4 linked regions of the Anolis sagrei genome follow. The protein of the gene in region 4 purifies or fractionates together with the protein of the main gene of each other region. This does not show direct contact. Links are inferred from orthologs where the notes say so. Each region holds a gene or a part of one and is shown on either strand. Other genes may lie near its edges.

The links.
Region 1: the proteins of EIF4A3 (region 4) and NCBP1 purify together in Homo sapiens (co-immunoprecipitation; 3 studies listed by BioGRID and IntAct, with this or other methods). This does not show direct contact. The link is inferred for Anolis sagrei from reciprocal best matches to the Homo sapiens genes EIF4A3 and NCBP1.
Region 2: the proteins of EIF4A3 (region 4) and SRSF3 purify together in Homo sapiens (affinity purification with mass spectrometry; 3 studies listed by BioGRID and IntAct, with this or other methods). This does not show direct contact. The link is inferred for Anolis sagrei from reciprocal best matches to the Homo sapiens genes EIF4A3 and SRSF3.
Region 3: the proteins of EIF4A3 (region 4) and SAP18 fractionate together in Homo sapiens (co-fractionation; 3 studies listed by BioGRID and IntAct, with this or other methods). This does not show direct contact. The link is inferred for Anolis sagrei from reciprocal best matches to the Homo sapiens genes EIF4A3 and SAP18.

Annotation. Positions count from the first base shown.
Region 1 is NC_090022.1:150,976,500-150,983,657, forward strand, and holds the start of NCBP1 (nuclear cap-binding protein subunit 1), read right to left. Parts: upstream 3,090-7,158; 5' UTR 2,858-3,089; coding exon 2,824-2,857; intron 1-2,823. UniProt on the Homo sapiens protein: Component of the cap-binding complex (CBC), which binds cotranscriptionally to the 5'-cap of pre-mRNAs and is involved in various processes such as pre-mRNA splicing, translation regulation, nonsense-mediated mRNA decay, RNA-mediated gene silencing (RNAi) by microRNAs (miRNAs) and mRNA export.
Region 2 is NC_090024.1:187,254,042-187,261,432, forward strand, and holds the start of SRSF3 (serine/arginine-rich splicing factor 3), read right to left. Parts: upstream 3,213-7,391; 5' UTR 3,028-3,212; intron 306-3,027; 5' UTR 304-305; coding exon 98-303; intron 1-97. UniProt on the Homo sapiens protein: Splicing factor, which binds the consensus motif 5'-C[ACU][AU]C[ACU][AC]C-3' within pre-mRNA and promotes specific exons inclusion during alternative splicing.
Region 3 is NC_090023.1:28,525,501-28,533,498, reverse strand, and holds the start of SAP18 (histone deacetylase complex subunit SAP18), read right to left. Parts: upstream 3,250-7,998; 5' UTR 2,997-3,249; coding exon 2,925-2,996; intron 1-2,924. UniProt on the Homo sapiens protein: Component of the SIN3-repressing complex. Enhances the ability of SIN3-HDAC1-mediated transcriptional repression. When tethered to the promoter, it can direct the formation of a repressive complex to core histone proteins.
Region 4 is NC_090021.1:21,907,354-21,915,056, reverse strand, and holds the start of EIF4A3 (eukaryotic initiation factor 4A-III), read right to left. Parts: upstream 3,054-7,703; 5' UTR 2,858-3,053; coding exon 2,692-2,857; intron 2,448-2,691; coding exon 2,375-2,447; intron 1-2,374. UniProt on the Homo sapiens protein: ATP-dependent RNA helicase. Involved in pre-mRNA splicing as component of the spliceosome. Core component of the splicing-dependent multiprotein exon junction complex (EJC) deposited at splice junctions on mRNAs.

The sequences.
Region 1 (7,158 bases), on a different chromosome or scaffold from region 4:
TCAGCCTCTTCTTCTGTAGGCTAAACATGGCTAGATCTTTAAGCCACTCCTCATAGGGCGTGTTCTCCAGACCCTTGATCGTTTTAGTCACCCTCCTCTGAAAACATTCCAGCTTGTTAATATCTCCCTTCAATTGCAGTGCCCAGAATTGTCACAATACTCCAGGTGTGGTCTGAACAAGGCAGAATAGAGGGGTAGCATGACTTCCCTGGACCTAGACACTATACTCCTATTTATGCAGGCTAAGATCTCATTGGCTTTTTTAGCTGCCACATCACACTGTTGGCTCATGTTTAACTTATTGTTCACCAGGACTCCAAGATCTTTTTCATATGTACTGTTGTCGAGCCAGGTGTCCCCCATGTTGTATCTTTGCATTTCATTTTTTCTGCCTAAATGGAGTATCTTGCATATGTCCCTGTTGAACTTCATTTTGCTAGTTTTGGCCCATCTCTCTAACCTGTTCAGATCGTTTTGAATTCTGCTCCTGTCTTCTGGAGTAATGGCTAGCTATCCCTCCCAATTTGGTGTCACCTGCAAACGTCACGATCATGACTTCTGACCCTTCATCTAAGTCATTAATAAAGATGTTGAACAGGCCTGGGACCAGGACGGGATCTTGCTTATGGCATTCCTCTCGTCACTTCTTTCCAAGATGAAGAGGAAGCAGTGGAGAGAGCCTTCTCCTCTGTGGTTCCTCGACTCTGGAACTCATTGCCCAGTGAGCTTAGGCAAGCACCCACCTTAGCAACCTTCAAGAAGAATCTCAAAACCTGGCTTTTCCGTTGTGCTTTTGGAGAGTAACCATACAACTACACACTGTTGCTCCCACTCAATGTTTGTGCCTATAGCACACTTCCCCCTGTCTATTTGAAGGCCTGTTTTTACAACTTCTCCCTCACAAATAATCTGCTCCACTCCTATCTCATGCTGAGCTTTTAGTATTTTATCTGTAAATGTGGCCTGCTCATTGTCACTGTGATTGCGAATGATTTTTCATTGTATTTTATATTGTTTATTGTATTCTTATGTTTTATTAAGCTTATTGTGTTGTCTGTTATGTGCTTTGTTTTTATTTTATTGTAATGCACTGTTGGGCCTGGCCTCATGTAAGCCGCCCCAAATCCCCGTTGGGAAGATGGTGGCAGGGTATAAAAAAAGATTATTATTATTATTATTATTATTGGTGAGCACCCTCTGGATTCTTTCACCTAACCAATTACAGATCCACCTAACTGTAGTTTTGCCTAGCCCACATTTAACTAGTCTGTTTGCCAGAGGGTTATATTGGACCTTGTCGAAGGCCTTACTGAAATCCAGGTACGCTACACCAATAGTGTTCCCTGTGTCTATCCAGCTTTATTTATTTATTTATTTATTGCACTTCTACCCCGCCCTTCTCAACCCCCCGAGGGGGGACTCAGGGCGGCTTACAAAAGGCACAATTCGATGCCGGCACAACAAGGTAAAAATAAACATATGTAAACAGTAATTAAAACAGTCCATTATACATCACACATCAAAATCACACATTAAGATCGTCCGGGGAGGCCCTGCTCTGGTCCCGCCTGCGTCACAGGCACGGTTGGCGGGGACGAGGGACAGGGCCTTCTCGGTGGTGGCCCCTCGGCTATGGAATGCCCTACCTATAGACATCAGACAGGCTCCTTCGTTGCTGGCGTTTCGGAAGAAGGTTAAGACTTGGCTTTACGAGCAAGCGTTTGGCTAAACAGTGCAACTGAACACAGGAAGACGGTAAAATTGAACATAGAAATGGCACAAGGATTATGAGAATGGATTTTGCTCTGTTATCGAGGCGTCATGAATTGATAATAATTGTTGATTTTGTTGTTGTGTATGATGTGTTTTTAACTGTTTATTGTTGTGATAACCTGCATTGTGTAAACCGCATTGAGTCGCCTAATTAGGCTGAAAAACGCGGTATAGAAATAAAGCAAATAAATAAATAAATAAATCTATAAAACCAATCTAATGCTCAACGTTTGCCAACTCAGAGTTCATAAATTCAATTCCACACTGTCAAGTCCATCAGTTGTCGTCACTAGTCCTTTGTCTGCTGCCAGATTACCCAAAGGCCTGGTCCCAAATCCATGTTTTTAATTTCCTTCTAAATGAGGGGAGGGATGTTGGTGACCTAATTTCCCTGGGGAGCGAATTCCACAGGTGAGGAGCCACCACTGAGAAGGCCCTGCTCCTCGTCCCCACCAACCTCAGCTTGTAACTCTATTGAAAAAAGAGATCAGATTAGTCTGGCATGACGTGTTTTAGATAAATCTGTGTTGACTATTAGAAATAACTGCATTCCTTGCCAAGTGTTTACAAGTGCAGTATCTTGCTGTACTACTGCTACTACTACTACATGCTGGCATACGTTCTTGCACGCTTCTTGTTCACAACAACTCCAAGTCACTGTGAGAAGTACTGAGAGGTTGGACACAACTGAAGTTCCCATTTCCAAAACGCGTTTGAACTAATTTCTCGTGAAATAAACGGGTCAAAGGTCCTACAGGCCAGGCTTTTTCTTCAGAAAGATGCCCATGGAGAACGACAATACTGGCCCCCCAGACCAGACACACTTCCCAACCTTTGGTCTCCCAGGGGCTAAGTTGGGACTTCAACTCCCGGGATTCCTCTCGGTTGGCGAAGACGGCTGGGGCTTCTGGGAGTTGAAGTCCCCCCATACCTGAAAGGTTGGGAGCCCCTATCGAAGAAAGGCAGCTTCCTCAGGCCATGAGGGCCAGGCCTCCCTCTCTCCCACTCCCACCCCCTTCTCCTCCTTTCTCCTCCCTCGCTCCCGCTCACCGTCGTTATCGTCGCTGTGCCGCCTGCGCGACATGGTCCTTCTTCCTCAACGGCCGGGGAGAGAGAGAGAGGAGGGAAAGAGGCCGGCAGCCAGGCAGACAGACAGACAGACAGAGAAGAGGTCCAGGGCGCATGCGCAACTGACACTTCTCGCGCGCTCGCCGGAGGAGGAGGCCTTCGACGCTTCGAAAAAAAAACGCCCACTGAAAGCCGTGTGCGAGGAACTGCGCGCGCGCCTGCCTGCTCCCCTTCCGGCCCGCGCGCACGCTTCTTCCGGTCCCTTCTGGCCCCGCGCTGCTCTCTCCGGCTACGACAAGTGCGCATGCGTACAAAGGGAAGCTTTTCCGGAGCAAAAGAAAGGGGAAAAAAAAGAACAGAGGACGATCAAGGGATCGTCGACAAATTAATGCCCTCGTGTGGAAACGAATAGAACTTGTGGAAGGAGGGTGAAGGGAAAGAGATTTGGTGGGGCGCCAAGGCTTCTGAGTTTGTTTTGTTGTTGTTTATGGTTCTCAAACTGGCAACAACTGTTCTTTGGAAGTCAGCAGTGCGTTTCTTCATGGCAGTCACCACTACAATCCTTTTGATTCCCCCTGAAAGGAACCCAAATCCTGCAAAGAAGCTATTGAGACCTTTTTTGGGGAGGGAGGGTGGAGATGTGGAATATAAATATTAAATCGATGCATCTTTATTTATTTGTATACTTATTTCTAAAAATTGGGACCAAAAAACGCTCGTGCAAGAAAGTACGCCTTCCACGTGCAAGTACATCTTCCACGTGCAAGTACGCTTCCATGTGCAAATACGCCTTCCACGTACAAATACGTCTTCCATGTGCAAGTACGCCTTCCACGTACAAATACGTCTTTCATGTGCAAGTACGTCTTCCACGTGAAAGTATGCCTTCCATGTGCAAGTACGCCTTCCACGTACAAATACGTCTTTCATGTGCAAGTACGTCTTCCACGTGCAAGTACGCCTTCCATGTGCAAATACGCCTTCCACGTACAAATACATCTTCCACGTGCAAGTACGCCTTCCATGTGCAACTACATCTTTCATGTGCAAGTACACCTTCCCTTTGCAAGTACGCCTTCCACATATAAATACGCCTTTCATGTGCAAGTATGTCTTCCACGTGCAAGTACATCTTCCACGTGCAAGTATACGTTCCATGTGCAAGTATGTTTTCCACATGCAAGTAATCTTCCAGTGGTTCCCAACATGTGGTCCGTGGACCACCAGTGGTCCAGAAGAATGAAAATATGGTCCACAGCATCACCATTACTACACAGTTGCCTCGAAACCACACAGCAGTGTGGTCTTGCAAAACTGGTCTTGCAAAACCCTCTTATAGTGCTGAGGCAACTGAGCTGTCAGGAGGGGAGAGGCTGACTACCCGCAAAGCATTACCACTACCACATCAGCTCTATTAAATACGGTTTTCTGAAGCTGAGCTGATGGTGACTACTGGATAGCGTATGTTCTGTATCAGAAACGAGAGCTGATGAGGTCTAGCCAATGCAATTTTCTCTTATCAGCACTTCAAATAACCAAACCGAATCTAAAATTGAGCAAAAACTGATTCATAACCTCTTTGGTACTAATGTTGGAGAGTGGTCCCTGGTCAAAGTAGCCCCTGGCCAAAAAAAGGTTGGGAACCACTGATTTGAAAGAACAAATTTAAGAATATAATTTTTAAAAACTCTGAAAAAATTATTCTGACTTGGGTTATGAGGCCGACCCATATGTTATATAGGCTCGGAACTTTTAGGGGTGAGGCCCCCTTTGTCTCCTGGCAACCAATATTTTTAGACCCAACCCACCACTGCCTACACTAGAATGAGTACGGTTTGGCCTGGTGGTGCAATGGTTTAAACCCTTGTGCCTGCAGGACTGAGGACCGAAAGGTTGGCAGTTCAAATCTGGAGAGTAGGGTGAGCTCACGTCTGTCAGCCCCAGCTTCCCATGCGGGGACATGAGAAAAGCCTCCCACAGGATGGTAAAACTGGGCGTCCCAGGGGCAACGTCCTTGTAGACAGCCAATTCTCACACCAGAAGTTACTGTCCTTGCAGACGGCCAATTCTCTCACACCAGAAGTGACTTGCAGTTTCTCAAGTCACTCCTGACATGAAAAAAGGCACCACTTGAACTGCCTTAGCTCAATGCTATGCAGCATTGGGGAGTTGTAGTATGTACAAAGCAAAAGACATTGTACATCTACAGCTCCCTTGATTCCATAGCATTGAGCCAGAGCAGTTCAAGTGGGGTCAACCCGCACTCATTCTACAGTGTAGCCGAGGCACCCTTTTCGGTCCATTGGTTCTCTCTGAATTGCCAGCAGTCCCTCCAGGGAAGGCTTCCAGGGAGGAGCCTTGCAAGAGAGACAGAGAGCAAGACATGCTTTCTCTTTGCAGAGAGTGCCAGCACATTCAGCTGCCAGGCCAGGAAGAAGAGGAGGAGGAGGAGGAGGAGGAGGAGGGGAAGTCAGTGCTGGGGACAGAGGGTGGCTGCAGGCGGAGAAAGCCCATCCAGGTAAAAGGAAACAGAGCAGCAGCCAAAGAAAGGCTGCGTTTTGCAGGGACTGAGCCATGCCTGCCCTTTCTATCCCTTTGTGGGTCCTAGAAGAGGCCTGGCTCTGGGGGTGGGACACGGCTGCCGCCATGGGGCTGCTTGCTGCTTTTCCATCCCATCTGCCTTCTAGCAATGGCCCTCCCCTCCTAGTGTTCCTCCCCACAATGACCCTGCGAGGCAGGAGAGGCTGAAAGAGAGGCTGGTCAGCCAAGAGTGCCAAGGCCCGGGAAGCAATTCAGTTCCGCATGCCTACACCAGCTTCCTCTGCACTGTAGAAGCATCCTTTAACTGCCCTGGCTCAGTGCTGTGGAATCCATGGGGTTTGCAATTTTGCAAGGGCTACCACTTCCCTGCCAAAGAACTCTGGGGCCTTACCGCACCAGGACTGTGGCACAGCGGCGGGGAGTCAGCAGCATTAAGATCACTACTGACCGAAAGGTCATGAGTTCGAAGCCAGCTTGCTGTCAACCTTTGCAGCCCAAAAGACAATTGCATCTGTCAAGTAGGAAATTTAGATACTGCGTATGCGGGGGGGGGGGGGGGGGTAATTTAATAATTTACGACACCATAAAAATCTCCAGCAAGCCTGCAAAGAATGAGGAAACACTCCATCAGTGTCACAAATGGACAGTGAAGCGATAGCTCCCCTGGTGGCCAGAATACCCTCATCAAAAAAAAAGCTGGAATGTTAATAAATATAAGCTGACAGACAATCAGAGGCTAATTAACTTTCCAGCTTTCATGAGAGTATTCTGGCCACCAGGGGAGCTGTCGCTTCACCATCCATTTTTGACACTGATTGAGTACTTCCTAATTCTTTTTTGCTTACTTGCTGGAGATTTTATGGCATCGTAAATTAGTTAAATTAGCCTCCCCGCATAAGCGGTACTTAAATTTTGTACTTGACAGATGCAACTGTCTTTCTGGCTGCAAAGGTTGATAGCAAGCTACACAGAAGTCGGAAGCTTACTCCGATCTGGGCTGGCTTTGAACTCATGACCTTTTTACAGAGTAATGATTTTGAGTCTTTGTCTCTTGGTAGCTTTGTGATTGAGATGTGATTTTAAACAAGGCCGCTAAGAAAGTGTTATACTAACCATAGTGATGCAGGGCTGGATAAAATGTTAATGTGATTATGATTAATTCATATACTCTCCTAAATGAGATTTCCTCAGATGCATGCCCTGGTAATCACACTTGCAAATTATGTCTGTGTTTACTTTCTAATGACCAGTCACAAAATGAAACACACTACCTTCAAAGAAACACACTAACTTAAAACCTTGACATCTTTCCCAATGGGAGGAACACCTCTGCAAATCTATATAAATAAAAATGTAGTGTTTGTTTGTGGGATTAACATAACTCAAAAACCACTGGATGAATTGACCCCAGATTTGGACACAATACACGTATCAGACCAACAAGTGACAATCACTCATAAAACACTGAAAAACACAGCGGAAGGGCTTACAAAGCAAAAAAAAAAAAAAACAAAAAAAAACCAACAACCCCAAAAATACATTACAATGCATGTGCAAAATCACACACACATACACAAACACACATATACACAAATATATACACATATATACACAAAAATCACATATACACAGACTAGATCACAGCAAGCCGTGGCAGAGGACGGCTAGTAAATGATAAATCCATATTGATTAGATTGAATTTTAGCTTATTAGTCATCCAAATTGGCATTATCTATAGGTGAAAGTAAATAGGTTTTGGTTTTTGGACTGCAGTTC
Region 2 (7,391 bases), on a different chromosome or scaffold from region 4:
AATTTTTGCATAACATACAAATCAAGGCTTTAACCACAACTAACCTATATGCCCCCAGAACTTATCTCTAAGATGTAAAAAGCTGGGGGGTTTTTACCTCCCATCTAGCTCTCTCACGGCATCAGCTGCATCACGTGGGTCTTCAAATTCAACAAAAGCAAAGCCAGGGGGATTCCTAGCCACCCATACACTTCGCAGAGGTCCATAGTAGCCAAAAGCCCGTTCCAGTTCCGTTTTGTTGCCATTGTTCCCAAGGTTACCTACGTAAACCTTGCAGTCCAGCGGACACGAGTCACGATGCATCTCTACAACATGATCAAGTAAAAAATGTTGTCAAGCTTCCACTATTAGCACATACTAAATCCTGTGATGTTCACTCCAGTGGGGAAATGTAGCATGAATAAATCTGACTGTTCATTTCAGAATATGTGCCTTCAAGTTATGTTATAACAATAACTATTTTATTTTTATACCCTGCCATCATCTCCTCAAAGGGACTCAGGGCGACTCACATGCAGGACCAAGCCCAGAGACAACACGGTTTACCAACTAAAACATAATTATAAACATAGTAACGTATCACAACCCAATTAATCAATTAAAAATAGCAGGGTATAAAAACTTAATTGAAATTTATAGAAAGTAAACCTCGACAATCAGTGACCAGAAATACAGTGGAAATAATCAGAATTAGTGAGGGCTGGGCATGGGCTCGTGCAAAAAGCAGACTATAGTCCCCCCCCCCTCCAAAGTTAGTCTGCTGTTATAGTTGTTGCTAGTTATTATTGTTACGTATTGTCAAAGGCCTTCATGGTCGGAATCACTGGGTTGTTGTAAGTTTTTAGGGGCTATAGGGCCATATTCTAGAGACATTCTCTCCTGACGTTTCGCCTGCATCTATGGCAAGCATCCTCAGAAGTAGTGAGGATGTTGTTTTCGCTGTTTTATGTTGTCTAAATTGTTTTACTTTGTTTTTAATTGTATTCTGTCTTGGGACCCCGAGTCCCTTTGGGGAGATGGAGGCGGGGTTGAAAAATAAAGTTCTTCTATATAGGGCAAGCGCTGGGGGTAAAGTGCCGAGTACAACCTATCCCTCAATTAGGTCTGGGCATTCATGAACAGGGACCTAACCATCAAATGCACACTGACACATCCAGGTTGCAACTCCATGGATTACATACTGTTCTTCTGGGGGAAGGAATATTCAAGAGGTGGGTTGTCGTAGGTTTTTGGGGCTATATGGCCATGTTCTAGAGCAGTGGTTCTCAATCTGTGGGTCCTCAGATGTTTTGGCCTTCAACTCCCAGAAAACCTAACAGTTGGTAAACTGGCTGGGATTTCTGGGAGTTGTAGGCCAAAACACCTGGCGACCCACAGGTTGAGAACCACTGCTCTAGAGCTATTCTGTCCTGACGTTTTGCCTGCATCTATGGCAAGCATCCTCAGAGGTAGTGAGGTCTCACTACCTCTGAGGATGCTTGCCATAGATGCAGGTGAAATGTCAGGAGAGAATGCCTTTAGAACATATATAGCCCAAAAAAAACCTACAACCCAGTGATTCCGGCCATGAAAGCCTTCGACAATACATTCAAGAGGTGGTTTGCCAATTCATTCTCTGAAACATACCTTAAAGCAGTGGTCCTCAACATGTGGGTCCCCGGATGTTTTGGCCTTCAACTCCCAAAAATCTTAACTGCTAGTAAACTGGCTGGGATTCCTGGGAGTTGTAAGCCAAAACACCTGGCGACCCACAGGTTGAGAACCACTGAGCTAGATTCTCAGATACTCTGATATTACAGTGCTCACATATATTGCTGGGGAAAGAGAGGGACAAATATAGTTTGCAGTGAATGGCCTTTTGAAAATAAGGGAAGGGTCCTACTGTATGAAATACAGGATGTTTTTGCAGTTTAATAAACCTTCCCCATGTTTTATGATCGAGCAGTGATTCTTAACCTGTGGGTCCCCAGATGTTTTGGCCTTCAACTCCCAGAAATCTTAACTGCTGGTAAACTGGCTGGGATTTCTGGGAGTTGTAAGCCAAAACACCTGGGGACCCACAGGTTGCGAACCACTGTCTTAAAGCACTTAGTATTCATTGGAAGCCTCCCAACCAAGTGCTAACCAGGGTTTGTTTTTTTTTGTCGTGTCAGGAGTGACTCCTGGTGTGAGAGAATTGGCCGTCTGGAAGGACGTTGCCCAGGGGATGCCCGGATGACTTGATGTTTTCATCATCCCCGTGGGAGGCTTCTCTCATGTCCCCGTATGTTGAGCTGGAGCTGATAGAGGGAGCTCATCCGCCTCTCCTCGGATTCGAACCTGCGACCTGTCGGTCCTCAGTCCTGCCAGCACAGGGGTTTAACCCACTGCACCACCGGGGGCTCCACAGGGGTGACCCTGCTTAACGTCCAAAACAAGACAGGGCCAGAGGCCCCACTTTAAGGCAGGATGTTCATTATAAACACTCGTCAGCCTACAGATAAAGGCCCATCTACACATAATGCTGTTTAACTGCACCGAACGAGCCTACACTGGCCATATAATGCAGTTTCAAACAATGGCAATGTAGGTAGGGCCATAAAATGCTCTTTCCTGAAGCCGCTAATGTGAGTTCGGAAAGCCCAAATGCAGCAAATGAATAAATAGGGTGACTTTTCTGCATTTGAAATGTTTCACAAAAAAAAACAACTTGAAAATCCCCTGCGTCGATTGTCGAAAATAATGCTGCTCATCGGTGGGGAAATTACAGCTGGCCGGATGAGGAAAATAACGGCTTGTAATTAACGCCGCTTGGCGCCCAAGTAGGAAGAATTCGGCATCCATTTCTTCGACCTTCTCTTTTTAATGGTAGGTGCGTAAGAAAGAGCCCCCCGTGCCGAAGGAGCCAAGCCTTCCCTCCCACCCAGGGCCCCACCCCCCGACCGGGGCCTGGCGTTACTACTTCTGCTCCACAAAATGGCGGCGGCTCTTTGTCCGCCCTCAGGGCCGCGAGGCCTGCCACCCCGCCCGCGCCCCTCCCTCCCTCACCGGCTGCCGGGCCAGGAGCGCCAAGGGCTTCTCACGCTGCCTTTTCTTTTCCTGCCTTCGTCGCCTCTTTCTCTTTGTCCTTCGGCCCTTAAAGCGCGCTCGGCCTCGCCTTCTTTCCCGCCAAGGCCTGAGCTGTTAACCACCCTCGACTCTTTCGTACTGGACAAAATGGCGGACGGCAACGCCACGGTCTTGTATTTATATGCGTCCTGCCCATAGAGTCACGTGAAGAGCCTACCCACCAATGAGAAGCCGTGTCTTCAGTGATCGACATCTTCGAAACCCAGCTCCGCCCACACGAGCGGTAGCCCCTCCCCCTTTCTCCTGCCTCTGACTGCAGGCAAGGGCGCGGTTACCATGGCAATCTCTGTGAAGGGAGGCTTCGGCGAGGCCTACACAGAGGCGCGGGAGGGAGACAGATTTAGGCCTTTCTCTGGCACGCCATGTAGGGTGCATCTACACCAGGCATAGGCAAACTTGGGCCCTCCAGGGGGTTTGGACTTCAACTCCCATCATTCCTAACAGCCTCGGGTCCCTTCCTTTTCCCCCTCAGCCGCTTAAGCGGAGGGCCCAAGTTTGCCCATACCCGATACACTGTAGAACTAATGCACTTCGACTCCACTTTAACTGCTATAGCTCAATACTATGGAATTCTGGAAGTAGTAGTTTTACAAGGTCTTCAGCCTTCTCTGTCCCAGAGTGCTAGTGCCTCACCAAACTAAGCATCCCTAGATTCCACTGCATTGAGCCATAATAGTCAAAATGGTGGGAAACTGAATTAAATCTAATGTAGCTACACCTTGGGAGTGTCCACTCAAATCCTGTAGAGCTTAATTTTGAATAGACAAATTTAGAATCCAGCTATCGGGAGTCACAGTGAACTATATGCTAGAACCTGCTTCTGTGCTTTTAAATAGGAATAAAGGACATGTAGGATCTTGTGGGATTACATTTCCCATCATCCCTTATTTCCACTGGTTAGATCAGGGGTCCTCAAACCTTTTAAACAGAGGGCCAGGTCACAGTCCCTCAAAACTGTTGGAGGGCCGGATTATAATTTGGAAAAAATGAATGAATTCCTATGCACACTGCACATATCTTATTTGTAGTGCAAAAAATAATTAAAAACAATACAATAATTAAAAATGATGAACAATTTTAACAAATATAAACTTAATAGTATTTCAATGGGAAGTGTGGGCCTGCTTTTGGCTGATGAGATAGGATTGTTGTTGTTATTGTTCTGTGTTTTCAAGTAGTTTGAGACTTAGGTTGACCCTGAGCGAGGGCCGGGTAAATAACCTTGGAGGACCGTATCCTGCCCTGGGCCTTAGTTTGAGGAACCCTGGGTTAGATTATGATTTATGGGCAGGACACAATACAGTATCTTCACTGGAGATTTGAAAACATTAGACAGCTAAATGGATTTCTGCACGACGGCTTGACTAAATAACCATTAGTAACCATGGGAGCTTTTGCACAATCAAAACTTGTGCATCAGTTGCGCCCATACCTTGGGAAGTCAGGCTTGGCCACGGTGGTCCATGCTCTTGTTACATACTGAATATATTACTGCAACATGCTCTATGTGGAGTTGCCTTTGAAAACTGTTGGGAAGCTTCAATTAGTCCAAAGGTTGGCAGCCAGGTTTCTAACTGGAGGAGCGTTCAGGAAGCACACAACCCCCCTGTTATGCCAGCTCCACTGGCTGCCAGTCTGCTAACAAGCACAATTCAAAGTGCTGGCTTTGGCTAGCTTATAAAGCTAAACAGTTCCAGCCCAGCATATCTGTCCAAACACCTTGGAAGTTAAGATCATCTGGGGAGGCCCTGCTCTTGATCCCACCACCTTCACAAGCTCGATTGGTAGGGATGAGCGACAGGGCCATCTCAGTGATGGCTCCTCATCTGTGAACTCAATGAAATCAGGTCAGCTCAAGATGTGGCAGTGGGACCAAGCATTCAACCAGTAAATAGTATAATAAAGATAACGGACTAATGGAATTGACAACTGGACAATCCTTGGACTACAATCTTGATTACTGGATTTTAATTGATGTTTTAATAATTAATGTTTAATTGTATGGTTTTAATTGTATTTATTTATTTTTATATTCGTATGTATTGGCATCAAATAGCTGCCTGCTGTAAGGATGCTCCGAGTCCCCTTTTAAGGTGAGAAGAGCGGGATACACATCATGAGGAGACAGGAAAGCCTAGAGAAGACAATTATGCTGGGGAAAGTGGAAGCCAAAAGGAAGAGGGGCCGACCAAGGGCAAGATGGATGGATGGCATCCTTGAAGTGACTGGACTGACCTTGAGGGAGCTGGGGGTGGTAACGGCCGACAGGGAGCTCTGGCGTAGGCTGGTCCATGAGGTCACGAAGAGTCGGAGACGACTGAACGAATGAACAACGAGCGGGATACAAATATATGAAAAAATACATAAATAATAAATAGTATCCTTTCTCACTTTGGGAAGGCCCCACTTTCCCACACTTGCCTTTTGTTTCATTCTTATTTTTCAGTAGGCAAGTCTCTGTTTTGAAGTTAATTGTTTTGCAGGAAGCTGTACTTTAGTGGCATAATGCTATGGAATTGGGCATATGGTCTTGCAAGGTTTTTAGCCTTCTCAGCCAAAGAATGCTGGTGCCTCACCAAACTACAACTCCCATAAATTCATAGCACTGAGCCATGACCATTAGTGGTGTCAAACAGCATTAATTCTACAGTATAGGCACACCTCTAGTTTCTATTAAGCTAGAAAAGGCAGGAATGAACTTGCTTCAATTATCATTCTATGTGCTCTTTAAACTATTGCCATCCATGGTTGTGATGATGCCTAATTCAGCACTTTTGAAGCTATGTGATATGGCAGGCTGGCACTCTTTCAGTGTGTCGCTGGTATATATTTGCCCTATTGTTATAACATAGTCCCCTGGAAATGCACCACAGACCAGCACCTGATGGAATTATCTAAACACTGGATATTAGGTTGGTAAGAAATACAAGGCCAGGCTTTTTGTTGGTCGCTATTGCATTGGTAGAACTTTCTCCCAAATGAAGTCAGGCTACGTCCATTTTTGTTAAATTTCTTACATGCACTATGTAACATCTTGGGCTCTTACTATTGTGCTTAGTCTCTCTGTGTGTGCATGTTGAATGTGATGCTTCTGTTTCTAAATTATCATTTCATTGTACACTGCTTTGAAGGCTCTGGTAAGCAGAAAAAATAATTGACACTTAAGCAAGGAGGTAGACAAACATCTGGATTCATTTGCTTGCTGCATTTTATAATGCTTTTCAACTGGAGTGGGACACAAGGCAACTTCCAAAACTATTTAAAATATTTACATTAATATCAAAAAACAATTAAAAGCAGATTAAACATCATTAAAATACTTTAAAAAAACATATAAAACTCAAATGAATATACCTACCATGAAATAAACCTTGCAACTTACATTTGGAAACCACAGCTCTATACTAAGGAAACAACTTCTCAGTCTGACTCAGTTGCAAATACAGTTAATAGGGTACTTTGCTAATGTGCTAATGTGGTGCTTTGAAAGAGGAAGACTGCAAGTGGATTGATTCAATCAAGAAAGAGAATACTCTTGACTTGGCAAGAACTCATCAGAGCAGTTCCTGGGCGGGGCTTTTGGGGGTCTCTCATGCATATGATAGCCGTTAAGTTAAAGTCAAATATGAATTATAGCAACCCAATGCAAATTGCAGGTTGAATCCATGTTGTTGTTGTTTATTTGTTCAATCGCTTCTGACTCTTTGTGACCTCATTGACCAGCCCATGCCAGAGCTCCCTGTTGGTCATGGCTACCCCCAGCTTCTTCAAAGGCAAGCCAGTCACTTTGAGGATACCATTCATCCATCTTGTCCTTGGTCAGCCCCTCTTCCTTTTTCCTTCCATTTTCCCCAGCATCACTGTCTTCTCCAAGTTTTCCTGTCTTCTCATTATTTGGCCAAAGTACTTATTCTTTGCCTCTAAAATCCTTCTCTCCAGTAAATCCATATATGGATGGGCTACAATTGTTATTTGAGTCTTAGTGCTTTATTTTTCTTTTATTTATTAATTATTTATCACACTTTTCATCCAAATAAGACATAAAAATATAAATGATTTTTTTCTTTTATCTGTGGCTTGAGATGGGAATACAACATGGTTAAAACACACAGATAAAACACAATACTAGAAAGAGAGAGAGAGAGAGAGAGAGAGAACAAAATTAAAACACCAATACTAACCAAATGTAAAGTTACAATTTATAATTTAAAATTGACTGGCCTGCCAGAAGTATGGCATGTAAATAGTTTTCTATGCTGACAGAGTCATGTGAATTCAAATTT
Region 3 (7,998 bases), on a different chromosome or scaffold from region 4:
AGACACATTATGTATACAAGATGTATATAAAACAACAATTAATTTCCTATTTAGACTTGGGTTCCATCACCGATATACTTGCACACACATATAATACACACACCTGTCCGAACTTATCTCCCCCTATGAACCCTCTCGGAGATTGAGATTATCTTCTTTCAACTGGAATATATGCCAGTATGGACTCTGATAACCCAGTTCAAATACGATATCGTGGGATTTTCTGCCTTGATATTCTGGGATATAGGGCTGTGTGGAAGGGCCCTTGGAATCTTTTTATTATATTCTCTTTTTAAAAGAGGTCATTTATCATGGAAGATGCTAAATTCCTATAAAATTTTTCATAAGTGTTTATAGCGGTAAATTCTGCAGGAATAGATAACTTGTGGAGGTGTTCTTTCTCTTCCTTTCTGTTTCTCTCCCATTCATTTCTCTCTGGACCCTTCCAAACAAAATATTGAGGCAGAATAACCCACAATATCTGCTTTGAACTGGGTTACCTAAGGGCCCTTCCACACAACCCTATATCCCAGACTATCAAGGCAAAATATTCCACAATATCTGCTTTGAACTGGGTTATCTGAGTCCACTCTCAGACAATGTGGGTTTTTCTGCTTGATATTCTGAGATATAGGGTTGTGTGAAAGGGCCCCGAGTCCTCACTGCCATACAACCCAGTTCAAAGCAGACATTTTGGGATGTTCTGCCTTGATATTCTGGAATAGAGGGCTGTGTGGAAGATGCTAAATTCCTATAAAACTGGAATACATTTTTCAGAAGTGTTATAGCAGTAAATTCTGCAGGAATAGGTAACCTGTGGAGGTGTTTTTTCTCTTCCAGTTTCTCTGCCATTCGTTTCTCTCTGGCCCTTTCCACACAACCATATAACTCAGACTATTGAGGCAGAATAACCCAAAATATCTGCTTTGAACCGGGTTACCTAAGGGCCCTTCCATACAATCCTATATCCCAGAATATCTGCTTTGAACTGGGCTATCTGAGTCCACTCTCTGACAATGTGGGTTTTTCTCCTTGATATTCTGGGATATAGGGTTGTGTAAAAGGGCCCCGAGTCCTCACTGCTATATAACCCAGTCCAAAGCAGATATTCTGTGATTTTCTGCCTTGATATTCTGGGATATAGGGCTGTGTGGAAGGGCCCTTAGGATCCTTTTATTATATTCTCTTTTCAAAGGTCATTTATCATGGAAGATACTAAATTCTAATAAAACTGGAATACATTTTTCAGAAGTATTTATAGTTAGGTTGTTGTAGGTTTTTTTCAAGCTATATGGCCATGCTCTAGAAGCAGTCTCTCCTGACGTTTCGTCTGCATCTATGGCAAGCATCCTCAGAGGTAATGAGGTCTGTTGGAACTAGGAAAAAGGGTTTATATATCTGTGGAATGACCAGGGTGGGACAAAGAACTCTTGTCTGTTGGAGCTAGTTGTGAATGTTTCAACTGACCACCTTGATTAGCATAAAATGGCCTGACAGTGCCTGGAGCAAACTTTTGTTGAGGTGATATTTTTCTCACATATTTATACATGGCTATCATGTTTCCTCTCAGCCTTCTCTTCTGAAGGCCAAACTTGCCCAGCTCTTTAAGCCGCTCCTCATAGGGCTTGTTCTCCAGACCCTTGATCATTTTAGTCGCCCTCCTCTGGACACATTCCAGCTTGTCAATATCTCCCTTCAACTTTGGTGCCAAGAATTGGACACAGTGTGATTCCAGGTGTGGTCTGACCAATGCAGAATAGAGCATGGGTAGCATGACTTCCCTGGATCTGTTGTGAGGTTGTGAGGTCTCTGAGGATGCAGGCGAAACGTCAGGAGAGAATGTCTCTAGAGCATTTGTCCGAACGGATCTCCCTCTACATCCCACCTCGAAGTTTAAGATCTTCTGGGGAGGCCCTGCTCTCGACCCCGCCAGTCTCTCAAGCGAGGCTGACGGGGACGAGGAGCAGGGCCTTCTCAGTGGCGGCCCCCCGCCTGTGGAACTCACTCCCTGGGGAGATCAGATCGGCGACCTCCCTCCTAACATTTAGGAAAAAACTAAAGACCTGGATGTGGGACCAAGCTTTTGGTCACTCTGACAATTAAATCAAGGACCTGGGAATAGACAAGACAAACGGAATAGGACGGACTTATGGACTCTGATATATGGACCCTGACATGAGACTGTTTTAGGTTTTTACTATGTACTGATGTTTTAATTTAAGTGTTGAATTGTTATTTTTTGTATTACTTGTTATGTGTTCGGGCATCTAATTGTGCCCTCCCCTGTAAGCCGCCCTGAGTCCCCTCCGGGGTGAGAAGGGCGGGGTATAAGTGATTGAAATAAATAAATAAATAATAGAGCATGGCCATATAGCTCGAAAAAACCTACAACCCAGTGATTCCAGCCATGAAAGCCTTCAACAATACAGTGTTTATAGTGATCAATTCTGCAGGAACAGGTAACCTGTGGAGGTGTTCTTTCTTTTCCTTTCTGTTTCTCTCCCATTCGTTTCTCTCTGGGCCCTTCCACACAAAATACTGAGGCAGAATAACCCACAATATCTGCTTTGAACTGGGTTATCCAAGTTCAAAGATATCCAAGATAATGTGGGTTTGTTTTGCCTTGATATTCTGGGATATGGGGCCCTTGGGATATAGGGCCCTGAGTCTTCCCTGCCATATAACCCAGTTCAAAGCAGTTAATGTGCGATTTTATTCAGCTGTGTGGAAGGGGCCTCTTTCTCTGTATTCCTTACTATCTCCTTCAGTCTTTCTCTCATTGTATTGTCGAAGGCTTTCATGGCCGGAATCACTGGGTTGTTGTAGTTTTTTTCGGGCTATATGGCCATGTTCTAGAGGCATTTTGGCAAGCATCCTCAGAGGTAGTCTGTCCCTCCTCCCCTTTCTGGCTCTTTTCTCTTTACCTTCTCGCGGTCGATGGGCTTTTCAGGCTCTTTCTTGATCTCCTCCTGAGTAACGCGAGACTCCACCGCCATCTTGCCGCCGCCGCCGCCTCCTACTCCTAGGCCCAAGCCTTTTCTGAGAGGGAGACAAAGCCAAGGAAGCAAGGCCGAGAGCCCGAGTCCCTCAGAAAAGGAGCGGGGAAAGCACAGCCAGCCCAAGCCTCCTTCCCCGCCTCGTGGGGACCACCGTTTCCTTATAAAAGCCCGGAAAACCGCCACAAACCTCCTCTGGTGGCTTTACCGAGGCAAGATGGCGGCATCCAGGAAAGATTCGAGCGGCTTCACTTGAAACCGCGAGCTCTCGTGAGACTACCCCTGTTGTCTCGCGAGAGAGAAACTAGAGCGTGGGATATAGCTTGTTTAAGGAATCTAGAAAAGGGTCTTGTCTGTGGAAGGATTTGAACTCAGGACCAAGGATGATCCAATGGTCCAATCGCATTAAAGTCTTATCACCCACAATTAATGTGGCTGATAAGACTTTGGGGCTTGTAAACCATGCTCCACTCTATTATTATTATTATTATTATTATTATTATTATTATTATTGATTTGATACATAGCAAGATTAGTAGACAGCAAACAAGATCACTATGCTGGCTTTTGTATTTGATCACACGTGAGAATACTTCCCAAGTGTCTAGGATGTATCAGTGAATAATGCGCACAGATCCGCGTAGGGTGGCCTTTTGCAGCTAATAGTAATTTTGTCTGTGCTGATTGTTTTTAAGTGCAGGCCAAGGTCTTTAGGCACTGCACCCAGTGTACCATTCACCACTGGGACCACTTTGACTGGTTTGTGCCAGAGTCTTTGCAGTTCAATCTTTAAATTCTCATATCGTCTAAACCAGTGTTTCTCAACCTGGGGGTCGGGACCCCTGTGGGGGTCGTGAGGGGGTGTCAAAGGGGTCGCCAAAGACCACCAGAAAACATAGTATTTTCTGTATTGTCGAAGGCTTTCATGGCTGGAATCACTAGGTTCTTGTGGGTGTTTCGGGCTATATGGCCATGTTCTAGAGGCATTTTCTCCTGACGTTTCGCCTGCATCTATGGCAAGCATCCTCACTACCTCTGAGGATGCTTGCCATAGATGCAGGCGAAACGTCAGGAGAAAATGCCTCTAGAACATGGCCATATAGCCCGAAAAAACCCACAAGAACATAGTATTTTCTGTTGGTCATGGGGGTTGTGTGTGGAAAGTTTGGTCCAATTCTGTCATTGGTGGGGTTCAGAATGCTATTTCATTGTGGGTGAACTATAAATCCCAACAACTACAACTCCCAATTGGCAAGGTCTATTTTCTCCAAACTCTGCCAGTGTTCACATTTGGGCATATTGAGTATTTGTGCCAAGTTTGATCCAGATCCGTCATCGCTTGAGTCCACAGTCTGGATATAGGTGAACTACAACTCCAAAAACTCAAGGTCAATGTCCACCAGTCCTTCCCAATATTTTCTCTTGGTCATGGGAATTCTGTGTGCCATGTTTGATTCAATTCCATCATTGATGGAGTTCAGAAGGCTCTTTGATTTAAGGTGAACTATAAATCCCAGCAACTCCAGCGTTACCAAATGACAAAATGAATCACCCCCAACCCCACCAGTATTCAAATTTTGGGCGTATTGGGTATTTGTGCCAAATTTAATCCAGTGACTGAAAATACATCCTGCATATCAGATATTTACATTACAATTCATAACAGTAGCAAAATTACAGTTATGAAGTAGCAACGAAAATAACATTATGGTTGGAGGTCACCACAACATGAGGACCTGTACTAAGGAGTTGCGGCATTAGGAAGGTTGAGAAACACTGGTGTAAGCTTTTCCAGTTACTTCTCAATCCTGCTGTCACCTGGGATATTATTATTATTATATTTGGGATCTTCTTAATATAATAAGGAAAAGCAGACAATGCCATTCAAGAGCTGTGTCTTTGTGCATATAGATGGATTTTCTTGCTCTGCCAATTAAACCTGAACTAGCGAACCTGAACTGCTAGTTGGGGGATTCTGGGAGTTGTAGTTCAAGAAGAAACTTTCTCAAGCTCTGCACATTGAAACTGAACTGGAAAACCTGAACTGCTGGTTGGGAGTTTCTATGAATTGTAATTCAAAATGTATCTTTCTTAAACTTTCCCCATTGAACTTGAATTGGGGGGTGGAGGAAGTCATTAAACCAGCCAGAAAAAAAGATTACGCAGCTATTACTAGAGAGTTCAGATATGAACAAAATGACTATTCTGATGCAGAGCATTTAAAAATTGAGAGAGGATGTAATTTAATGCTGATGGGCAGAAAATTGATCTCTTGTGTACTTTTCAAAGCAGCTGTGTTGTCCTTTTGTTATGACAGTTTTACAGCTGTTTGACCCTCTTGTTTACTCTTCGGTCTGTACACCAACAGAGATTTTCCAGTCTCCCAGCATAAAGAAAAAGAAATCCACATTGTGCAACTGGGGTGGTCCAACTGCAGTGATGGGTGGGCTGTATACACGGTAAATATATTAACTAGACTTTTCGTGGCCTGCCGATCTGTTTGAAACAAAGAGGCATAAATGACCACCATCTTTTCACAGAGAAGGCATGACAAAACTGTGTTAAGTGGGATTGTGTGTGTGTTTGAGCTTTAAGCATGTAAGAACTTCAGAAGTGTCTTGCTGGATAAGATCTGGGTCTGTCTAGATTAGTGTGCCTTGCAAGAATCCCACCCAACAATACACAGATAGTATCCACCAGAAATCTGTGGCATGTGGGCCATAATCTACTTTCCGTTCTTTATTTGTTGTTTTTATTCCATTTTGGCTGAATTTAAACCAAACTTCCCCAGTTTTATCGGGCAGCGCTTGAGAAAGTTACTTTTTGAACTACAATTCCCAGAATCCCCCAACCAGCATTTTAGCCTCTCCAGTTCAAGTTGAATGGGCAGTGCTTGAGAAACTACAACTCCCAGAATTCCCCAAACCATCAGTTTCGCTTCCTCAGTTCAAGTTGAATGGGCAGTGCTTGAGAAACTACAACTCCTAGAATCCCCCAACCAGCAGTTTAGCTTTCCTTGTTCAAGTTGAACGGGCAGTGCTTGAGAAACTACAATTTCCAGAACCCACCAACTAGCAGTTCAGGTACCCCGATTTAAGTAGAATGGACAAAACACGAGAAAGCTATTTTTTGTACTATGCCTCCTAGAATCCCTCAACCAGCAATTCAAGTTTCCCATCTCAATTTGAATGGGCAGAGGTTAAGAAAGTTTCTTTTTGAACTACAAATAAAGAATCCCTCAACCAGCAGTTCATGTTCTCCAGTTTAATGGGTGGCTCTTGAGAAAGTTCCTTTTTAAACTACAGATTCCAGAACATACCCACCCAACCAGTGGTTCAGGTTCCCCAGTTCAAGTTTAATGAGGAGAGCTGGAAAAATTACTTCTTGAACTGCAACTCCCAACATCCCACAACTAGCAGTTCACATTTAATGGGTAGAGCTTGGGAAAGTTAATTTTGAACGCCCAGAATCCCTCAAGCAGCATATTTCATGATCTGGTTATATATAAGGTGGAGTTGGCACGCAAGAGAAAGGACAAAGATAAAGGTTCAGCCTTTACGGTAATTCACAGCTTCATACGTTTATGGAGCTCTGAACAACTATTTGAGCCAGCTTACTATGTTTTAAAACTATAATTAAACAGTCTGCAAAATATATGGTACCATCCCTGTTCAGCGTTTTACAAGAAGTTTAATCTTTTGTGAAGCTAATATTGCTGGTTTTGGATCACTCACAAAACTAATTGTCAAAAATGTGTCTGAACCTGTGATGTCAGTGGCTAAACACCTTTCCTTGGGAAACAGGTAATTTTGAACCAGAATTAGACAGTCCTAGTTGTCATTGCTTGCTAGGATGCAAAAACTAACTGTGATTTGGTTTGTGTAAACATCATTTTATTATTGGATTGATTGATTGATTGATGTATCACTTTTCGCCCTGCATGGGATCCTGGGCAATATACAACATTAAAAAAAACACATAATAACTAGTAAACAGTCAATAAACACTGGGTTGCTGAGAGTTTTCCAGGCTGTATGGCCATGTTCCAGAAGCATTCTCTCCTGGTGTTTCGCCTGCATTTATGGCAGGCATTCTCAGAGGTTATGAGGTCTGTTGGAAACTAAGCAAGTGAGGTTTATATATCTGTGGAATGGGAGGGTGGGAGAAAAGTAACACTAAACAAGGGAATTCCAAACAGGAAACAATCAGGGCCAGCTAACACCTCCCAACAAAGAATTCCCCCAGGCATGAAGCAGCCGGGCTTTGAAGCTGCAAGGCCATTCAGTGCTAACACTGATGGAATCGTTCCAGGAGTTGAGTGTGATGTCTATAGACAGTCCACATTTTGCAGACATATAACAGGGTTGGGAGGACAATAACTTTATAAAGAAGCACCTTGGTCGCCCTATGGATGCCCTGATCCTCAAACACACTCTGCTTCAGAAAAAATGTAGCACTCACAGAGCTCAAGAGGTGCTGTATTTCAGTGTCAATGTTGATTTTTGTGAAGAGGTGGCTGCCAAGGTAGTGAAAAAGGTCAACATTTTCTAATGTTAGTTGTATTTCTGGCATTGCAGAGGGATTGGCTGGTGACTGTTCAATGACAAGCCAAGCTTCTGCAAAAGGTGTTTAGAGTGGCTTGTAGGTCTTCTGAATGTGCACAGACTATGTTATCATCACCATATTGGAGCTCTATAACAGATGATGTTGTGACCTTGATTTTGGATTTCATAGGGCTTGACAAGTCATAGCCATCCTAGAGGAATGTATAATTGATTATCCGAAATACCCTGAGGTGTAGCTAGGTGGCACTCAAGTATATTTTCAGGGTCAAAATCAAACTGTAAACTACTTTCGTGACTAGGTTCAATATTAAAGTTTTTAAAAAATTGCTGCTGCCATTTATTTTCTGAAATGAATAACAGCATGAGGAATATTTTGCCAGATCATATTGAACTACAGCTCCCATTATCTTTCTCCAATTTTGGCCAGTACTGAAGGG
Region 4 (7,703 bases):
CTAAATATGATGAACATTATTTCAGTAATCCTCCCAAGAATTATGTAAAGTATATTGGTAGCTCATTATTCTGCATTAAAGATGGGGGACTAAGAGTATTTTCGTTCTAATTAATTCATGGCTAAAAATAACATTTTAACAGTGAACTTGGGGGGTTAATTTAGGCTTTTATAGTACAGTATTTATACGTCTTTTCAGAAGCAGCTCCCACTGAGCTCAATGAGATATATTCCTTTGTCATTATATTTATTTATTTACTGTATTTGTATACCACCCTTCTCAGCCCTCAGGCAACTCATATATATAGGATTACTTCCACAATCATGACATTGAAATAGTTCTCGAAACTGAAACTTCTACAAATAAAACCTATGTTTAACAATCAAATTTAAGTTATGGTCTACTTTGGAGAGTATAATAAAACTGTACAAGTTAATAATATACAAACACGTGGTATCATCCGCTGTGTCTCAAGCATCTGCAGTTGTACAATGTAGAATTAAAAGGTCTATGATTTTCCTCTGAACTCTTCGCAAACTAAGATACTGATGTCTAGCCTTCAAATACTTTCTAAAAAGAGACAGTACAGGTATAAATTAAGACACATCCTAACAACTGGCTGTTAGGAATTGCGGGAGTTGAAGTAAATCCAAAAAGAGACCCTGTACCTCTAAATCCCAGCAAATGTGGTCAACTGACTGCACAGAAATAATACAATTGTAATAATACAAAAAATAAACAGCAACCCAGGTAGGTCAAGGTGGTTATTTAAAATCTAAATAGCAAAAAGGCAGATAAGGTTTTAGAGTGGAATGGATCTACACTGTGGAATGAATGCAGTTTGATACCACTTTAACCCTCATAGTTCAAAGCTGATATTTGATTTGATCCCTCTGATTTTTAGTTCACGAAAAAGGCAGCTTTGTTGATATTGATTTAAATATTTACATTTAGCTTTGTTATTTGAACTAATTATGCCAATTACAAAAAAATCAACTAGAAATTCAAAAATCACAAGAAAAAAAATCTTGTCCTGCAGGTGAGGAGAAAAGGCTTAAGTTTTCGGTTCTTGTGTGAAAAGCAAGGGCATTCCTGCTGTGGAAAGAATATGCATTCTCATCAAGGATTATCAGTCTATACAAAGTGCTGACTTACTTGATTACCCATGGCTTTAATGGGGATACTGTAGCTGGAAATAGAACTATATTTCTTCATTTCTAAGACCTGCTTCTCCTCTTGTATAAACATCTCTAAAACTGTGGTGTTTCTTACAATGGTTGGGATTATATATTATATATATATATATATATATATATATATATAGTTGGGTGAAAATGGTGGTACTGAAATTAGTGTGCATCTTAGACTCAATGGTGTCATAGAATAAAAGGAATATTGCAAGTTAATTTAGATCTGTGGCTAAATGTGACTGTGATTTCATGTCATATAATAAAAGATTCAACATAAACAGATACAATGGTTGACAAGAAGATACATTCACTGTCACATTTTACACTAAACAAGGACCACTGAACTGAGGTGGATTTAATCTGACAAATTTGCTGTAGTCATTGGCATCAAAGGTGTAAAACACAACATCAAGAATCGTTTACTTTCTTATAGTCAATATGGCAATATTCCAAAGTGACCTCATTTTACTTCCATATACATTACTTGTCCATGGTGGTTCACATTCTCATTACATCCAAGATAGACTACTGCAACGCGCTCTACATGGGGTTGCCTTTGAACGCGATTCGGAAGCTTCAAACAGTCCAATGAGAGGCAGCCAGGTTAATAACTGGGGTGGCATACAGGGAGCACACAACTCCCATGTTACATCAGCTCCACTGGCTGCCCGTTTGCTACTGGGACAATTCAAAGTGCTGGCTTTAGCCTATAAAGCCCTAAATGGCCCTGGCCCAGTTTACCTGTCTGAACAGATCTCCCTTTATGAACCACTGCAGAAACTAAGATCTTCTGGGGAGGCCCTGCTCTTGGTCCCGCCACCACCAAAGGCATGTTTGGTAGGGACAAGAGTCAGGGCCTTCTCAGTGATTGCCCCCCAGTTATGGAACTCCCTTCCTGGCAATATTAGATCAGCCCCCTCCCTCCTGTCCTTTAGAAGGATTGTGAAGACTTGGCTGTGGGACCAAGCCTTTGGGGCAGTGAAATGAGGCAAAATGGTGTCCTGAGATGGTTTTTAAGCAACTTTTAATCTGAATATAAGTGACTTTAATGTTTGTATATATTTATGGTTTTATATCCCAGCATTGAATATTTGCCGTATATATGTTGTGCTCTGCTCTGAGTCCCCTGCGACGTGAGAAGGGCGGAATATAAATGTTTAAATAATTAAATAATCTGTACTTACTGTGCAATTACGTCTCTTCCTTTAATGATCTGTTTGATTGCTCTCTGCTGGATAGCTGAAGGTTTCTCAAAGCCTAGAAAAGCCATTTAAAATTCATTTAGCATCCCTTTCCACTTACAGATCAAACCCCAAAACATGAACATTTATGACATTTATATGCCGCCCTACTGTAATATAGCAATACTAATATATTAAATATAATAGTTACTACTGATAATATATAATAATATATAACGGTAGACTGTGTTATTGTTGTTATGTTTGTATAGATGGTTATAATGCGAGACAGAATGAGAATCTTGTCCCTCCCGGCTCACCGTAGGCGTAGATGCCTCGGAGGAGGTCCTCGCGCAGGCCCATGGTGTCGAAGGTGGGGGTGACGTCCACCTCTTCGCTGGTCTCGAACTCCACCTTCGTCATGTCTTCCTCCTTCAGCAGCCGCTTCCGAGCAGAGCCCGCCGTACCTCCCGTCGTCCCCGACATCCTTCCCGGCCGAGTCGTGCCTCCCGCCGCTTCCCTGCACGCGTTTCTCCCTCAGAGGCTCCGAAGGCCGCGCGTGAGAACGTGAGGAGATCCGCAACACCGCCGGCTAGGCCGCAACTGAACCGCGCATGCGCCCTCAGCTCTACTCCATGACGTAGATGGTGACGCACGACGTAAAACATACGTCCACCCAATGTTCGCTCCTTTCCAGAGAGTCCCAACAGACGCTAAAGAGACGAGAAGTTTACGCATGCGCTCCAACGCTCAGCCTCAAACAATCACTTACGCATGCGCTCTAACCCTTCCTCACCCTGTCTCAATGACGTCAGCAAACGTTCACTCCTCCCAATAGAGTCAGTAACGGGACTAGGCTTCACGCATGCGCGTTAATGCTTCTATCTGATTTAGCAACGCTCGCGCTTTGTAAAAAATAAAAGAGACACTTGCGCATGCGCATTAACGCTTTCTCAGTGACGCTCGCCCTAAAAGACGCTTAGCGACGTTCGCTTCCGCCCATAGAGATATAACTTATAGAGTCACAACAAGGAGGGATTCTTTTGTCTGGGACTTCATCTCCCAGAATTCCTGAGTGTTGGCCACGATGTGGGAGACTTCTGGGAGTTGAAGTCCGAAGTTTGCCCTTCCTCACCCTGTCTCCATGACGTCAGCAAACGTTCACTCCTCCCAATAGAGTCAGTAACGGGACTAGACTTCACGCATGCGCGTTAATGCTTCCATCTCTGATTTTGCAACGTTCGCGCTTTGTAAAGGTTATAGATACAGGAGACAGTTGCGCGTGCGCAGTAAAGCTTTCTCAGTGACTCTCGCCCTAAACATACGCTTACCGACGTTCGCTTCTGCCCATAGAGATATGTTTTTGATAAGAGTCACAACAAGCAGGGATTCTTTTGTCTGAGACTTCATCTCCCAGAATTCCTGGGTGTTGGCCACGATGTGAGAGCCTTCTGGGAGTTGAAGTCCGAAGTTTGCCTTTGCCTATCTCTGGGGCTGAGAGAGTGTGACTTGGATTTCTGTGGCTAAGCTAGGATTCGAACTCACATCTCCAGAGTCAGGGTGAGAACAAGCCCTATGAGGAGCGGCTTAAGGAGCTGGGCATGTTTAGCCTGAAGAAGAGAAGGCTGAGAGGAGATATGATAGCCATGTATAAATATGTGAGAGGAAGCCACAGGGAGGAGGGAACAAGCTTGTTTTCTGCTTCCTTGGAGAATAGGACGCGGAACAATGGCTTCAAACTACAAGAGAGGAGATTCCATCTGAACACGAGGAAGAATTTCCTGACTGTGAGAGCCGTTCAGCAGTGGAACTCTCTGCCCCAGAGTGTGGTGGAGGCTCCTTCTTTGGAAGCTTTTAAACAGAGGATGGATGGCCATCTGTCAGGGGTGATTTGAATGCAACATTCCTGCTTCTTGGCAGGGGGTTGGACTGGATGGCCCATGAGGTCTCTTCCAACTCTTGATTCTATGATTCTAGGGTCGAATCCTCAGATTATGAGAGCATGATCAGTGCTGTCCATCTACAACAGGCATGGGAGTTGTTTTGAACTTCAACTCCCACAGTTCCTAACAACCTCAGGCCCTTTCCTTTCCTTATGCCCAGTGTGGAACACATCCCATCACGTTAAAACAGTGGATGTGGCTCTTAAGGACACATGCCGCATTATCACAGGATGTCTACGCCCTACACCACTGGAGAAATTATACTGTTTAGAAGGGACAGAGAGTTTCATCTATGCTGACGATCATGCCATCACCACCCAAGCAGGGAGCTGTGAAATCGTTGAACAGAAGCTCTCCAAAGCTTTAGGTGGCCTTACTACCTATTACAGGGAAAACCAGCTGATTCCTAATCCATCTAAAATGCAGACATGTGCTTTTCACCTTAAGAACAGACAAGCATTTCGAGCTCTGAGGATTACCAGGGAAGGAATCCCACTGGAGCACTGCAGCACACCCAAATACCGGGATTGTGGCGCAGCTGGCTGAGTGTCAGCTGCATTAAAGATCACTCTGACCAAAAGGTCATGAGTTCGAAGCTAGCCCAGGTTGGAGTGGGTTTTCCAACCAATTGTGTGTAGCCTGTTGTCGACCTTTGCAACCCGAAAGACAGTTGTATCTGTCAAGTGGGAAAATTAGGTACCACATTAAAGTGTGGGGAGGCTAAATTAACTAATTTATGAGGCCATAAAGAAGACTCCAGCAAAGCATTCCAGCGGGGAAGCATGCGAGGAATGCGGAAGTACTTCATCAGTGTCGCAGATGGACAATGAAAGCGACAGCTCCCCTGGTGGCCAGAAAAAGTTAAATAGCCTCTGTGTATGTCTGTATATGTTTGTATGTCAAAAATTGGCAATGAATGTTTGCCATGTATGTGTACACTGTAATTCGCCCTGAGTCCCCTGCGGGGTGAGAAGGGCGGAATATAAAAGCTGTAAATAAATAAATAAATAATACCTGGGAGTCACTCTGGACCATTCTCTGACCTACAAGAAGCACTGCCTAGTTCCTGCTCATTCTATTGGTTCCCTTCTCTGCAATTGGTTATCTTACATGACATGGTCAGTGCAGTCAGGGAGGAGGGAGCAAGCTTGTTTTCTGCTTCCTTGGAGACTAGGACGCAGAACAATGGCTTCAAACTACAAGAAAGGAGATTCCATCTGAACATGAGGAAGAACTTCCTGACTGTGAGAGCCGTTCAGCAGTGGAACTCTCTGCCCCAGAGTGTGGTGGAGGCTCCTCCTTTGGAAGCTTTTAAACAGAGGCTGGATGGCCATCTGTCAGGGGTGCTTTGAATGCAGTATTCCTGCTTCTTGGCAGGGGGTTGGACTGGATGGCCCATGAGGTCTCTTCCAACTCTAGGATTCTATGATTCTATTTCTGAGCCTTTGTTGTTGTTGTTGTTGTTGTGGTTGTTGCTTTCCCCCTATTTTCCCAGCCTTGAAGTAAGATGCAAAGCACCTGATGGTGGGTATATTTACACTATAGAAAGAATACAGTTTGATACCATTTCAACTGCCCTGGCTCAATGCTATGGGATTGTGGGAATTGTAGTTTCACAAGGTCTCCAGCCTCCTCTGGCCAAGAGTGCTGGTGCCTTGCCAAACTACAGCTCCCATGATCCCATAGCCTTGAGCCAATGCAGGTCAAGAGGTGCCAAGCTGCATGCATTAATCCCACAGTGCAGCTGCAGCCAGGGACTCAAGAGGAAGAAGCAACAGCAGCCAATGCCAGGAGGAGGAGGAGGAAGGGAGGCAGGCAGGAGGAGGAGGGTGGTCTGAGGACGGGGGGCGGCCTGCTTAGCCCGGTCCAGCCCCGGGGAGGGGCCTCCACCCCTGGAGGGAGAAGCCCCGGCAAAGCACGCCGCTTTGGGCTTCGGAGGGACACAAAGGAGGCGGAGGAGAGCCTCTGGAGCAAGGCTTGGCTTCCCTTTCCCTGGAGATGCTGCTCCTGCTGCTGCAGTTTCTGCTCTGAGAGTCAAAGCAACAAGTGGGAGGAGGGCAGAGGTGAGTGCTGTGCTGGCTTTTGGGGTTCAGGGTTGCTCCTATGCAGGATATCTTGAAGATATCTCACTTCCACCTTGAGTATTGCGCTTGCTTTAGGGGTTCAGGGTTGCTCCTATTCAGGTAACCTATAGGACAGCCCACCTATAGGATATAATATAGAATGTCCCATTTTTACAAGAATATTGTGCTTGCTTTAGGGGTTCAGGGTTACTCCTATGCAGAATATCTTGAAGGTATCTCACTTCCACCTTGAGTATTGTACTTGCTTTGGGGGTTCAGGGTTGCTCCCATCCAGGTACCCTATAGGACAGCCCACCTATAGGATATAATATAGAATGTCCCATTTTTACAAGAATATTGTGCTTGCTTTAGGGGTTCAAGGTTACTCCTATGCAGGATATCTTGAAGATATCTCACTTTTATGTTGAGTATTGTATTGCTTTAGGGGTTCAGGGTTGCTCCTATTCAGGGGCCCTATAGGACACCTACCTATAGGATTTAGTATATAATATCCACCTTTAAAGGAATACTGTTCTTGTTTTAGGGGTCCAGGGTTACTCCTATGCAGGTGCCCTAAAGGACAGCCCACCTATATGATATAATATAGAATATCCTACTTTTACAAGAATACTGTGCTTGCTTTAGGGGTTCAGGCTTGCATCTATGCAGGGTCCTATAGGACAAACCACCTATAGGATATAGTATAAAATATCCCACCTTTACAAGAGTACTGTACTTGCTTTAGGAGTTCAGGTTGCTCCTATGCAGGATATTTTTAAGATGTCTCACTTCCACATTGAGTATTGTACTTACTTTAGGGGTTCAGGGTTGCTCCTATGCAGGGACTCTATAGGGCAGACCACCTATAGTATAGAATATCCCACCTTTACAAGAACATTGTGCTTGCTTTAGGGGTTCAGGGTTGCTCCTATGTAGGGGACCCTATAGGACAGACCACCTATAGTATAGAATATCCCACCTTTACAATAATACTGTGCTTACTTTAGGGGTCCAGGGTTGCTCCTATGCAGGGACCCTATAGAACGGCCCACATATAGGCTATTTTATAGAATATCCCACCATTACATAGGCTATTTTATAGAATATCCCACCATTACAAGAATACTGTGTTTGCTTTGGGGGTTCAGGGTTGCCCCACTGCAGAGACCTTATAGGACAGGCCACCTATAGGATATTTTATAGAATATCCCATCTTTACAAGAATACAGTGCTTGTTTTAGGGATCCAGAGTTGCTCCTATCCAGGGGCCCTATAGGACAGACCACCGATAGTATACAGTATAGAATATCCTACCTTTACAAGAAT